Linked DNA regions of Tamandua tetradactyla. The protein of the gene in region 1 purifies or fractionates together with the protein of each later gene. This does not show direct contact. Links are inferred from orthologs where the notes say so. Each region holds a gene or a part of one and is shown in the gene's direction. Other genes may lie near its edges.

The links.
Region 2: the proteins of RBX1 (region 1) and CUL9 purify together in Homo sapiens (affinity purification with mass spectrometry; 5 studies listed by BioGRID and IntAct, with this or other methods). This does not show direct contact. The link is inferred for Tamandua tetradactyla from reciprocal best matches to the Homo sapiens genes RBX1 and CUL9.
Region 3: the proteins of RBX1 (region 1) and FBXW7 purify together in Homo sapiens (affinity purification with western blotting; 8 studies listed by BioGRID and IntAct, with this or other methods). This does not show direct contact. The link is inferred for Tamandua tetradactyla from reciprocal best matches to the Homo sapiens genes RBX1 and FBXW7.

Annotation. Positions count from the first base shown.
Region 1 is NC_135333.1:34,063,619-34,067,364, forward strand, and holds the start of RBX1 (E3 ubiquitin-protein ligase RBX1), read left to right. Parts: upstream 1-977; 5' UTR 978-1,033; coding exon 1,034-1,111; intron 1,112-2,959; coding exon 2,960-3,038; intron 3,039-3,746. UniProt on the Homo sapiens protein: E3 ubiquitin ligase component of multiple cullin-RING-based E3 ubiquitin-protein ligase (CRLs) complexes which mediate the ubiquitination and subsequent proteasomal degradation of target proteins, including proteins involved in cell cycle progression, signal transduction, transcription and transcription-coupled nucleotide excision repair.
Region 2 is NC_135331.1:100,758,452-100,762,197, forward strand, and holds the start of CUL9 (cullin-9), read left to right. Parts: upstream 1-1,523; 5' UTR 1,524-1,552; coding exon 1,553-2,150; intron 2,151-2,695; coding exon 2,696-2,850; intron 2,851-3,171; coding exon 3,172-3,687; intron 3,688-3,746. UniProt on the Homo sapiens protein: Core component of a Cul9-RING ubiquitin-protein ligase complex composed of CUL9 and RBX1. The CUL9-RBX1 complex mediates ubiquitination and subsequent degradation of BIRC5 and is required to maintain microtubule dynamics and genome integrity.
Region 3 is NC_135348.1:14,758,131-14,761,876, forward strand, and holds the start of FBXW7 (F-box/WD repeat-containing protein 7), read left to right. Parts: upstream 1-1,483; 5' UTR 1,484-2,686; intron 2,687-3,746. UniProt on the Homo sapiens protein: Substrate recognition component of a SCF (SKP1-CUL1-F-box protein) E3 ubiquitin-protein ligase complex which mediates the ubiquitination and subsequent proteasomal degradation of target proteins.

The DNA of each region.
Region 1 (3,746 bases):
GAGGGCCCAACCTAGAACCAGAATGTGACAGGTGCAGGTGCTTTGGATGGGAAGGAATGACCAGTAAGGATAAATGGCAGAATGCTCGACAGAAATTTTAAGTACGGCGATCCCAGATAGGTCAGCGTAACTATAGCGCAGGGAGCTCAACCGTGACAAGAAACGAGGGAGAAGGGCCCTATGTTTAGATGAAATGGTGAATGTGTACTCAAGTGAGTACACATTGAGTGTGTACTCAAGTGGGGAATGTGTACTCAAGTGAGTTCACTGAAATCGTGGACCTTAAGCAGAGGCCATCGAGAACCATCTAGCATTACAAAGCAGGCTGGAGATGATTATCACCCAGGCTTCTGACCCTCCTCCACCTATTTCTGGCGGGGGGGGGGGGGGCAGCGGAGGGGGGTGAAGCGCGGAAGGAAAATGCCAGCTCACTCTGGCCTTGAGGAGAAGGCTCAGGCATTTCTTCCCTCCTCTTCGAATCCCTGAGCCTTTTCCGAATTGAAATCAGGAAACCAAACGGTGCTTGGGCCGGGGTTTGCCCATCCTCAGGCCTCCCAAGGTGGCTGCACCTCCGGCCTAGCTCGGACGCGGGTCAGGATCTACCAAAGGGCAGTGTGGGGAGCCGAAGACGGCGAGCGGTCCACCGGCACAGGGAGCGGAGGCTGGGCAGAGCCTGGGCCGCACGTCGCGGCCAAGGGAGAGGAAGAAGCCGCCGCCCCAGCAGAGGGAGCGTGGAAGCCCGCAGAAGGCGACTAGCGCGGGTCTCCTCCAAGGTTTCCTCCGGCTCGCTCACAGCGCCTCGGCCCCGCCCGGCCCCGCCCCAGCCGCCCAGGCCACCGCCTCCTCCCTAGCCGACGCAAGGGGGAACCTGCTCCAGCGCCTTTAAGAGGCGTGTTCACGTGCTCCGCCCCATCTGCCCCTCGCGCGCCAGTCAGTGGTGGGGTGCGGGAGGAGGTGCTTGGGGGAGGGGAGGATGGGGGCGGGCGGCGCTGCGCAGGCGCAGTGGCCAGGCGACGGAGCGTGAGTTTCCAAAATGGCGGCAGCGATGGACGTGGATACCCCGAGCGGCACTAACAGCGGCGCGGGCAAGAAACGCTTTGAAGTGAAAAAGGTTGGGTCTCGCCAGCTGCTTCCTCAAGGAAGCTAGACAGGCGCGGACTTGGCTGGCAGGCCCGAGGGTGACCGAGGCGCGAAGAAAAGGGCTTCATTTCAGGGCGTTCCTGGGACCGGGTACCCCCGAAAGGAAGCCGGAGGGTGGGTCTTAGGGTTGATCGGCGTGTCTGCGACCCACTGTCAGTGAAACTATTGGTTTCGCTCTTAGGCTGAGGGTCCAATCACTGAGGTGTTTATTGAACTACTCCGGCTTGCGACTTGGTCGCGGGAGCCAAGCGCCTGAGCTGTCACTGGAGTGGTTGAGGGGTGGGGGAAGTAGAGAGTGGGGTGGGTGGATGGGGGAGTCGGAGCTACTGCAGTGAGTGGAGGATGGGACAGTGCGGCGAAAGCCGAGAACCTGAGGTCCTACCGCAATGGAGGTTTCTGTAGAGCTGGGCTTACGATCTCCTTACCCCGCCCCTTTTTGAAGCTTTGCGGTCCCACTGACTGAGGGATCCCGACGTTGTCCTCGCCTAAGCAAGGCCTCTCTGCCCCATCTCTGGCCTTCACCCCCACCAAGTTAGAGTCTCATTTCTTATGCTTGGCTCTTTTGATTTGTTACGCATCCGTCTCAGTCTTGTGGTTCTCCGTCATGTCCAGAAGCCACCCCCTATTCCCCCCAAAAGCATATGAAGCCCAAACCTCGTAGCGTTTAGGAAGGGTTGAGTACGAGTTGCGAATGGCCTGTTAGAAGTGGGAAAGCAAAAATGTTGAACGTGTCTTTGCATGAAATCCCTTTTAGTGGTTTGCCAACAGCTTGGGAGAAAAGTGTGGATTTCCACCTAAGATGAAATAAATCTATTCAAAATGAGGATTTTCAAATAAGGAAGCTGTTATTCCTGGAATATCTGGCTAAACACTAAAAATATTCTCCTAGTGCTTTTTTGCGTCTCGTTATGGGCACTTCATGCCCAGTTACAGCCAGCAGCCATATTGAAGATAGTAGTAGACTTTTTTCCTCCAAATTGAAGCTGTGGGGTAAAAAGTGCTGAAGAAGTTGCTAGACACTGAGATTTGGCTTGCAGGAGATGAGGGGGTGGGAGTGGTGCCAAATTAGTGGATGAAAAAGGCCTTGGGAGTATTTATAGTTGCAGAAGCAGAGGTTGAAATACTTAGATACTGGGTTTAGATAAATTCTTAGTGGAATTATCTCAGTCATATGTAGAAGTGGGCATATAAAACTTGAGAACATTTGTTTGAGAGTAGGAACTAAAAGTTCAGTGAATTCTAGAGTTTGTTATGGAGCGATGCTGTAAGAAATAAGTGGTAACATTGTTCTGTGTACTAATACTGTTGGTATTTACCCACTTCAATCCAAGATTACCCATTTTATGCTCCGGTCATCATCTTAGTTCATTCTCTTCCTAGCTTTCACCTCCCCACTCATGCTTCCAAAGCTGCCTTTAAGAGCAGAATTTATCTATGCAGACTGATCTCTTGTGCATCTGCCTGGGGAACCTGCACAGTGATGCAAGTTTGTGCTTATTAAGACTAAAACAAGCCCTTAAAAATTATTCCTGATTGCTGACATTGAAGTGGCTGACTAAATATTTTTAGGTCTGGGAAAAAATTAAATTAAAAGATGATACATTAATTTCATGTGCTTAACATTTTGGAGAATGGACGAGATTGTATGTAGCCTATTGTTGTCCTCTGGTGTAATAAGAGTAGTGTAATATCCAGAAACTCTTGTTTGGTGGTCCATGTGGCCAAAGAAGATGTTAACTCCAGCTGCAGTACGAAATTCTAATGTGTGTGTAATATGTTACAAGGGAAGTGCATTGTTCCCCCTTTTCTCTCTTTGCAGTGGAATGCGGTAGCCCTCTGGGCCTGGGACATTGTGGTTGATAACTGTGCCATCTGCAGGAACCACATTATGGATCTTTGTAAGTAATTGGAGGAGCATGGGAGCAAGTTGAGAAGGTTGCAAGGATTGTTGCTATCCTGATGTGATCAGTTTTCTTCTTCAGGAAAGATATAAAACATAGTGCTTGGGGTCTTCTGCACCTGGTCTCTTGGTGTGTTTGAAACAGAATAGTTTTTGGATTGTCTTGAAGACATACCCAGTTCTTAAAATAAATCAACTTGCTCTAAAGAGAGCAAGGCCACGTTTAGAATGAATTGTGGACACAGGGGCACTGTAGATTCTTTCTCTTTATATTTCCTATCTCCTACCCAGACTCAAAGGCAGAAGTAGTAAAAGGAAGAAAATAAACTTTGAACTAAAATATTCTGTCCAAGCTAGTTTTTGCTGGGTGAGATGTGTAAAGAAAAGAAGCTGAAGAAGTAAGGATTTGCAACTTTAGCCCCATACCTAGTAAAAAAGACATCACTACCAACATCTAAATAGGCAATTAAATTCACTAAAGAAATTTGATTTAAATCTCTATATATTTATTACATAAGGTGATCAAAACATAGTGAATCTGATTGTAGCTGTTAACTGACTAATTTAGTATCCTTGTAGTAATGGGAGGGAGAAGATTGATTACACTGAAACAATTGAGGTTACTTTTTCATCCACATACTAAATTGGTTTGCTAATGAAATCAGAAATCAGGCAAAGAAACTTCAAGGTTCTAGAATTGAAATTG
Region 2 (3,746 bases), on another chromosome or scaffold:
CGGACCGCACCCCGTTCCCAAACCTGTGCCCATTTCTTCCCCGCCCCCACTGTCTGTAAGCTTGGGCTTGACCTTGTTGCCTGCGTCTACCTGCTGGCTTCATCCCCGCGTCCTTGCAGCTCACATCAATTTGTTGGTCCTACTCTAGGCCCACCCTACGGGTGTGTTCCCCACCCCCTTTCGTCCCAGTTGAGGCCTATCCCATTGTTTTACTTCTCCAACCTTCTCTAATCAGGAGCCCATCACATCAGAGTTCCCCGTTCAAACTGGTTCCCGGTGCTAACTGGAACCTTGCCCCACACCCTTGTTTCCCCCTCCCCTTCACTCCTGTCTTCTACTCTTATCTTCTGTTCTATACTCCCACATGACTCCTGCCTAAATTGCCTTTTCTCTGCCTGGGTTTACTTTCCCCTCTCATTCTCACCATTCTCTGTTACCCCTACACCTGCTTCATTTCACTCATATCTCATCCCTATCACTAGCATCACCTACTCTCCTAGAATCTTCTGGCTTATCACCTCTCTCAGTTTATCTGATGACTGCCCCTACCTTCCCCTCTAACAATAATAATATTAGGTTGTTTACTGAGTGCTCACTACTTGCTGGTCACTGTTTTAAGTGTTTTACATATGAGATCTTATTAAATCTTTAAGTCAACTTCAAGAGGTAGGTATACATATTATCACCATCTAGCAGACATGGAAACAGGCTCAGAGGTTAAATAACTTGTCTAAGGCTTTGTAGATGGAAAGCAAAAAAGCTAGAGTTCAAAGGGCATTCTTCTGAGCGAAATCTGTAATAATACCCCACCATCTCTTGGAGTCATCCCCTACTGTCTCAATCCCATGGTTACCACCCTTTGACTTAGATACAGCGTAAGTATGAACTGGGACCTGGTCCTTTTCTCCCATACTTTTATGTGATTCCTAGGTCCATTTTCCCCACCCTCACAATACTCATATACTCTCCCCATCCAGCCATCTGCTCCCACATCCCAGCCTTCTTTCCATCTCCATTTTCTGAATCTCCCGAGGCCTACTGCTTTATATTCCACATTCCACATTTGCCTCTTCATTTATATTACTTGTCCTGCCCCTCCTCTATATCAACTTTCCTTACGTGTTCTGGCCCCACTGTCTCACATGCTGCTGTCCTTCCTGCTCACTCATGCCATCCTTTTAGTCCTGATCTGTATCCCTTAGCCACCCTGCTCTTCTGCTTAGACTGTCCTGCTTAACTGTCACTCTTCTGTTACCTTGTCTTTTACTCTTCTTATTCTCTTGTAATTTCCGTTTCTTTAAGAAATGCAGGATATCCTCTTGCTGTCCTTTTTGCTGTCCTTACTCCATTCTCCTTCTCCTATAATTAAGTCCCAGAGTGTGTTCAACTATTTATCCCATCCTATATCTGGCCCTTTTTTTTGGCCTCTGAATTCTACCTGCAGCCTACCAATTACCCCCCTCCATGTCTCTAGACTCTTGCCCCTCCAGGTACTCTTATCCCTTTCCTATACTGCTTTTATATTTCTCATTATGTGTCTCAGGAGGTCAGGATGGTGGGGACATGGCGTGCCGGGGACATCATGGTGCCCTTGGGGTCCCAGCTGCAGGCATATCCTGAAGAACTCCTTCGACAGCGGCCTGGACATGATGGGTGTCCTGAATACCTCATCCGATGGACTGTCCTGAGGTGTGAAGAAATTGGCAGAGTGGGTGTGGACTCCGAAGGCAAGGCAGAGCACATCTTCATGTGGTTGTCAGCCCCTGAGGTCTACGCCAACTGCCCCATGCTGTTAGGCGAAAGAGTGCTATCTAAGGGACCTCAGCATGAGCCTGCTGGGGTTTCAGGAAGTTTTCCCAGGGATCCAGGAGGCCTGGATGAAGTGGCAGTGGGAGAGATGGAGGCTGATGTACGGGCACTGGTATGCAGGGCTGCCAGGCAACTGGCAGAGGGTGGGACCTCTAGCCTCACTGCCGCTGTGCTCCACACCATCCATGTGCTCAGTGCCTATGCCAGCATTGGGCCCCTCACTGGGGTCTTCAGGGAAACGGGAGCTCTGGACCTGCTCATGAAGATGTTGTGCAACCCTGAGCCTCAGATCCGTCGGAGTGCAGGCAAGATGCTGCAGGCTCTGGCAGCCCATGATGCTGGTAAGAGTCAGCCGGGGGAAGGAGAACATTGGAGAGAATGGGCTACAGGGAGTAAGAACAGAAAGAGAAGAGCTTCCCCAACTCTGTAAGAGAACCTAGTATTTGGCGAATATCAATTCAATGCAAAGGAAAAGTATAAATTAATAGGCTATTGCAGGTACTATATAAACAGGATGAAGTGATAGCACCTGGTTTTATCTGTCCTTTTCCAGTGCAATGGCAAAAAAGAGAATGGGGTAAATTTGCATTTTTTAAATTGTGAGTTGAGATTTATTGGTTGTGAAATCAATTTAGTGGATTTTAAAAGAAACGTAAAATATCAGAGAACAGCACTTAATAAGGATAAGCTCTGTAGCATGAAATGTGTATTTCATTTGTATGTACACTTGCTTGTACTGGGGTTACAATGTGAAATGTGCTTCTTACTGTGGTTCTCAGTCTCAAATAAGTTTGAAGCCCTCTAGGGTAGGCAGTAGAGACTAGAAAAAGCAGGGGGGGAGGTATTGGGGCTTGAAGAGAAGATATGGTTTGGGTGTGGATTACAGGGAGTCGGGCTCATGTCCTTCTGTCGCTGAGCCAGCAAGATGGCATTGAGCAGCACATGGATTTTGACAGCCGCTATACTTTGCTGGAGCTGTTTGCAGAGACCACATCGTCTGAAGAACACTGCATGGCCTTTGAGGGCATTCATCTGCCTCAGGTACCCCAGCTCTGTACAAGGCCTAGGGCATCTGAAAGGTGGTTCAGGACTGTACCTCAGCACCAGAACTACTTAGAAGCTTGTTAAAGTAAAGGTTTATGTACCCCTCTCTACCCCAGATTTTCTTAGGATCTCTGAGATTAAAATTCAGGAATCTGTATTTTTAAGACATTCCCTTTTTGTTTCTTACACAAACCAGCGTTTGAGAACTACAGGCTTAGGGATGAGACCTTTATTTTTTTCTGTAGAGGATGACATTGAGAGGAAAGGGGAGGAGCTAAAGCTGGGAGATGAACCTAGGCCAAGGATTATATCCTACAGATACCAGGAAAGCTACTCTTCTCCCTGGTGAAGCGCTACCTGTGTGTCACTTCCCTCCTGGATCAGCTGAATAATAATCCAGAGCCAGGGGCTGGAGACGGAGGCTCCCACTCCCCCGCGAGGGAGGAGTTCATCCGGGAGAAAAGCCGTGCTCAGCGGAAGCTGGAATTCTGTCTGGCTGTGGGCAACCTCATCTCAGAGCTGGTGCGGAACATGGGCTGGGCCCGGAACTTCAGTGAACAGGGCGCTTCGCCTCCCCGGCCGGCCCGATCCATCTTTCAGCCCTGCGTTTCGGGCCCCAGCCTTTTACTCCCCACCATCATCAGCACCCCCGGAAGGCAAGGGCGGGCTTTTCGCCCGCGCTGTGAATTCTCAAGCCGCAGTGGCTATGGTGAGTACGTGCAGCAGACGTTGACGCCGGGGATGCGAGTGCGGATGCTGGACGATTACGAGGAGATTAGCGCAGGCGACGAGGGTGAGTTCCGGCAGAGCAACAACGGCGTGCCTCCTGTGCAGGCGAGTGAGCGCATGGGCATGGGATACTATTGAGGCTGTCATTTGGGTGGGGGCCATGC
Region 3 (3,746 bases), on another chromosome or scaffold:
CAGGTGTTATTTCTGCAGAATGTCTCCACTTCTCCCTCTTTTCTGCAGCTTTTAAAACAAAAGCAAAAACCAGGCCCTTGGTTTTACCAAGTTAGAAGTTTCCTTGGTCAACAGTTTGCATATGGTGCTGGTAGCACTGGCAGAAACCCCAAGTTTCCAAATCTGCTTGCAATACTCCTGCTTCTATTCCTCCATAGAGGAATAGTAATGGAAAAGACTTCCATTACTGCTGCTTCCAGAGGAAGTAGGGGGTGCGAGGTCCAGTGACAGAACTGTGGAATTCGCTTCCTTTCATCATTGCTGCTGCTTTTATCGCATGCTTACACTATTCACCAGGACAGATTCAGGACAGATTTCTGAAGATTTTGGTTCTTTTATATTACTTCTTTTCCTAGAGAATGACCTTTTTAACTTTATGAATTATTACTTGAATTGACCTTCCAGAATAACATCTGTAGGAAAAGCTGCATAACAGTAATAACATTTATTTCAGAGAGGAAAGAGACTTTCAGCCACATGTGAAACGCAGGCCAAAATTACTTGATGAGGGTAATGGACACTGAATGACAACCAAGACAAGGTCAAGAAGTTCTCCATAAGCAAGAATGATTTCTAACAGTGAGGCATTGCTAAATTCTCCTCTAGAAAAACAGTCAAAAATCTTTCTACGATCTCCGGAAGGATGGTTCCTTTCCAATACTCCTCCCCCTCACACCGCCCCCTCCCCGACGCAACATTCTCCTGGAGTATGGCTCTTTCCTCCTTACCTCCCCCCCCACCCCCCCAGCCATCCGTCTCCTCCTCGCCTCTCCCCAACTGCCCTCCCTGGCAATTCTGCAAAGACGCAGGGAGTAACTCTCTACTCTAGCCACACCACATTTCCTTTCATGGAGGAAAGGGGGTGCATTATAACTTTCCTCATAATGCATCGCAGTTTACAAAGCGCTTGCACTTCTATCATCTCCTCTGAGCTCTTTGGGTGCCAAGGGACGTAGGCATTCATTCATTCATTCACCAAATTTGCGGCTCTCCACCACACTTTATCTGGCTGTAAGTCTCACCCCACACCACGGGAAGGGTGGAGTGCTCGCTCCTCGAAGCAGATGCGGTGAATTAGGCGTCAACTTCTCGCTGGGTCGGGTTTGTTGAGGGCCCGTTTGGGGCCAAATGCCTCACCTTCGAGTGGTGCGCGCCGGAGCATGGCCACACGGCTGGGCCTCCTCCTTGCCCCCAAAGGAGCAGTCACGCTCTAGGGTCAGGGGTAAGATCAGGCCGTAGCTTAGGCTCAACTCGGCTCCTCCCCTTCCTCTCTTCTATTCTGACGCGATCGCAGAGGCGGCAGCGGCGGCGAGTCCCGCGGTCCCGGGCGCACCCACCCGCTCTCGGATCCTCGACTTCCTCTTCCCCTTGAGCGTCATCAAAGTGCGCCAGAGTTCCCCAGGTCGGGGTGGGTGGGAAGGGAAAAAAAAAGGCTAGCGGTGGAAGCTTCAAAGCAGAGGGGGGAGGAGAGCGGTTGCTAGGTGACTTGCGTCATCGCTGTGCGCCGGTTTCCTCCCGCCCCTCTCTGTGGAGTGAGGCGAGAGCCCCGCACAGAGCGAGCGAGATAGCGAGCAGCGCTCCGGGCGCTACAGCCACCGCCTCCGAGAGAGTGAGAGCGAGGGAGCATCCGAGAAACTCAGCTTCCGTGCACTGGCCGCCACCGAAACCTCCGCCCTAACCTGGGCCAGCGAGAGCCGCGGCCGCCCTTCCTCTCCCCCCCCCCCCCTCACCTTCCCGGCCGGCAGCAGCGGCTGCACACGCCGGAGCCGGAGCCGGAGCCCGCGGCTGGGGGGGCAGGGAGGCGGCTACCCTGGGTCGGGGCTGGGCAGCTACTCCGCGGTGAGAGGACGCTGAGGAGGGTCCGGAGCTTTCTGCCTCGTCCCGGGACGCGGGGCGAGGGACCCCCAAGGTGTAGGGAGGGGGTCCCAGTCGCAGCGACACATGCGGGAGCCGGGAGCGGGGGCGGCGCCGAGCGGAGCCGGCCAGGTCCCCCACCTCGCCGCCGCCTCGGCCGTCCACCCGGGGCCGTAGCATCTCGCCCTGGAATATATGAGCCGGGGCTCCAAGCTCAGCAGCCACCCCCCAATCGGGGGGGCGGGGGCCCCGATGTGAAGAGGCGGCCCGGGTGGCGGGGAGAGCAGGACCCGCGCAGAGGTTCCCTTCCTTACCTTCCCCCTCCCCCACCCCCTTCGGGGGTCTTCTCCTTTGGCCAGTCGCCAGCCCCCCGGCTCCTCCGTAGGGCTCCGGGAGGAGTTCTCAGTGCCCCCTCCCCCGCCCCAGCCCGAGGGCGGCGGGGCTGGGGGGGATCCGGGGGGCCGGCCGCAGCCTCCGCCCAGAGAAAACTTTTTATAAAAATAAAATCCCAAGTCCCCCCAACGTGACTGTCCCGGGTGAAGTGGCCCTGGAAGGGCTGGAGCCACAGCCTGAAGAGACCCAGGAAGAGGAAAAAGGAGGCAAGAGGGGCCGCCACCCCTTTTCCACCGGCGGCACGGAAGAGACCCGGGTGGCCACCTGGCTTAGCGACACTAGCACCGCTTCTTCCTCGGTAACGCACCGGAGCTTTTCGCGGCCGCCGCCTCAGTCGGAAGGAGGAAGGGACCCAACCCACCTTCTCAGCTCCACCGTCATTACTCTTCGCTCCTAAAGTGTGAGTGGCCCCGGGAAAGAAAGTTGGGATTAGAAAGTGGGAGGATGCCGGTGCTTCTTCTTGGAGTTTTGCTCATGTTTCCCAGGAGTATTGGGAGTGTATAGGTGAGACAGTACCTTTATTCTTCACCGAGGGGGGAAGGTATTAGGTAGTCCAGTATTTTGTTTTAGTGCTTTGTGTGTATTATGCAAGCGTACAAGTTTCTCTTAGAGGAATTTTGCCTTACTCCAGAGTGGGTACTTAACGCCTTTTGGGCCTGCAATTGGCAAAAGAAAAGGTAGCCAGAGCATATGTGCACATAAAGGACATCTCTAATCTTCTTTTTTCCTGGTACACCTAGTGTGAAACAGCGCTGTAGTTGTTTCTGGGGAACTCTCATATATAGATGCCCAAGTAACCACCTACTTACTTACTTTTTGAATTGAAAGTAAAATTCCTTTCATTTTTTGCAGTCTTCCTTGAAAATTTTCTGTTTTGCTACCTATTAATACAGGATTTTTTTTTTTAAACTTTCTAAATTTCCTTGGTTCAGTTCCTGTCTGTCAGGAGGACACTAACAGATTTCAGTCAACCAGGAAATTCTGGATTTTTATGAATCACAACTTACTAGGGGTCTCCAGAGCATTTAGTGCTTTAACCAGTTTATAAAAATTGTTACATTTTTTTCCTTCACGCATTTTTTTTCCTTTCTTGAGAAGCATGTCTAAATTATTGCACTTTTTATTGGGCAGTTTAGCTTGAGGCTTTGATTATTTGAGTTATCGTCACTTCTCTGTTAATTTATGAGAAAGTTTCCATATTTAATTCTTTTCCAGAAATATTTTTCCTTTCATTTTAAAGTTGAAGTTTATAAGAACTTTCAGGGATACTTTCAGAAAGCCAAATTAGAGGTGCAGGAAAGTAATTTACATTTCGTATGTTTATGCACCCCTTAAGGGTTAAATAGACATTTTATTGAACAGAACATAGGTGGTATACCAAGAATTATGGTCCATCCAAACACCTGTGTGGGCTCTGTCTTTAAAGGCACTGCTGAGACGTGGTTTGTGGGAATGGATGT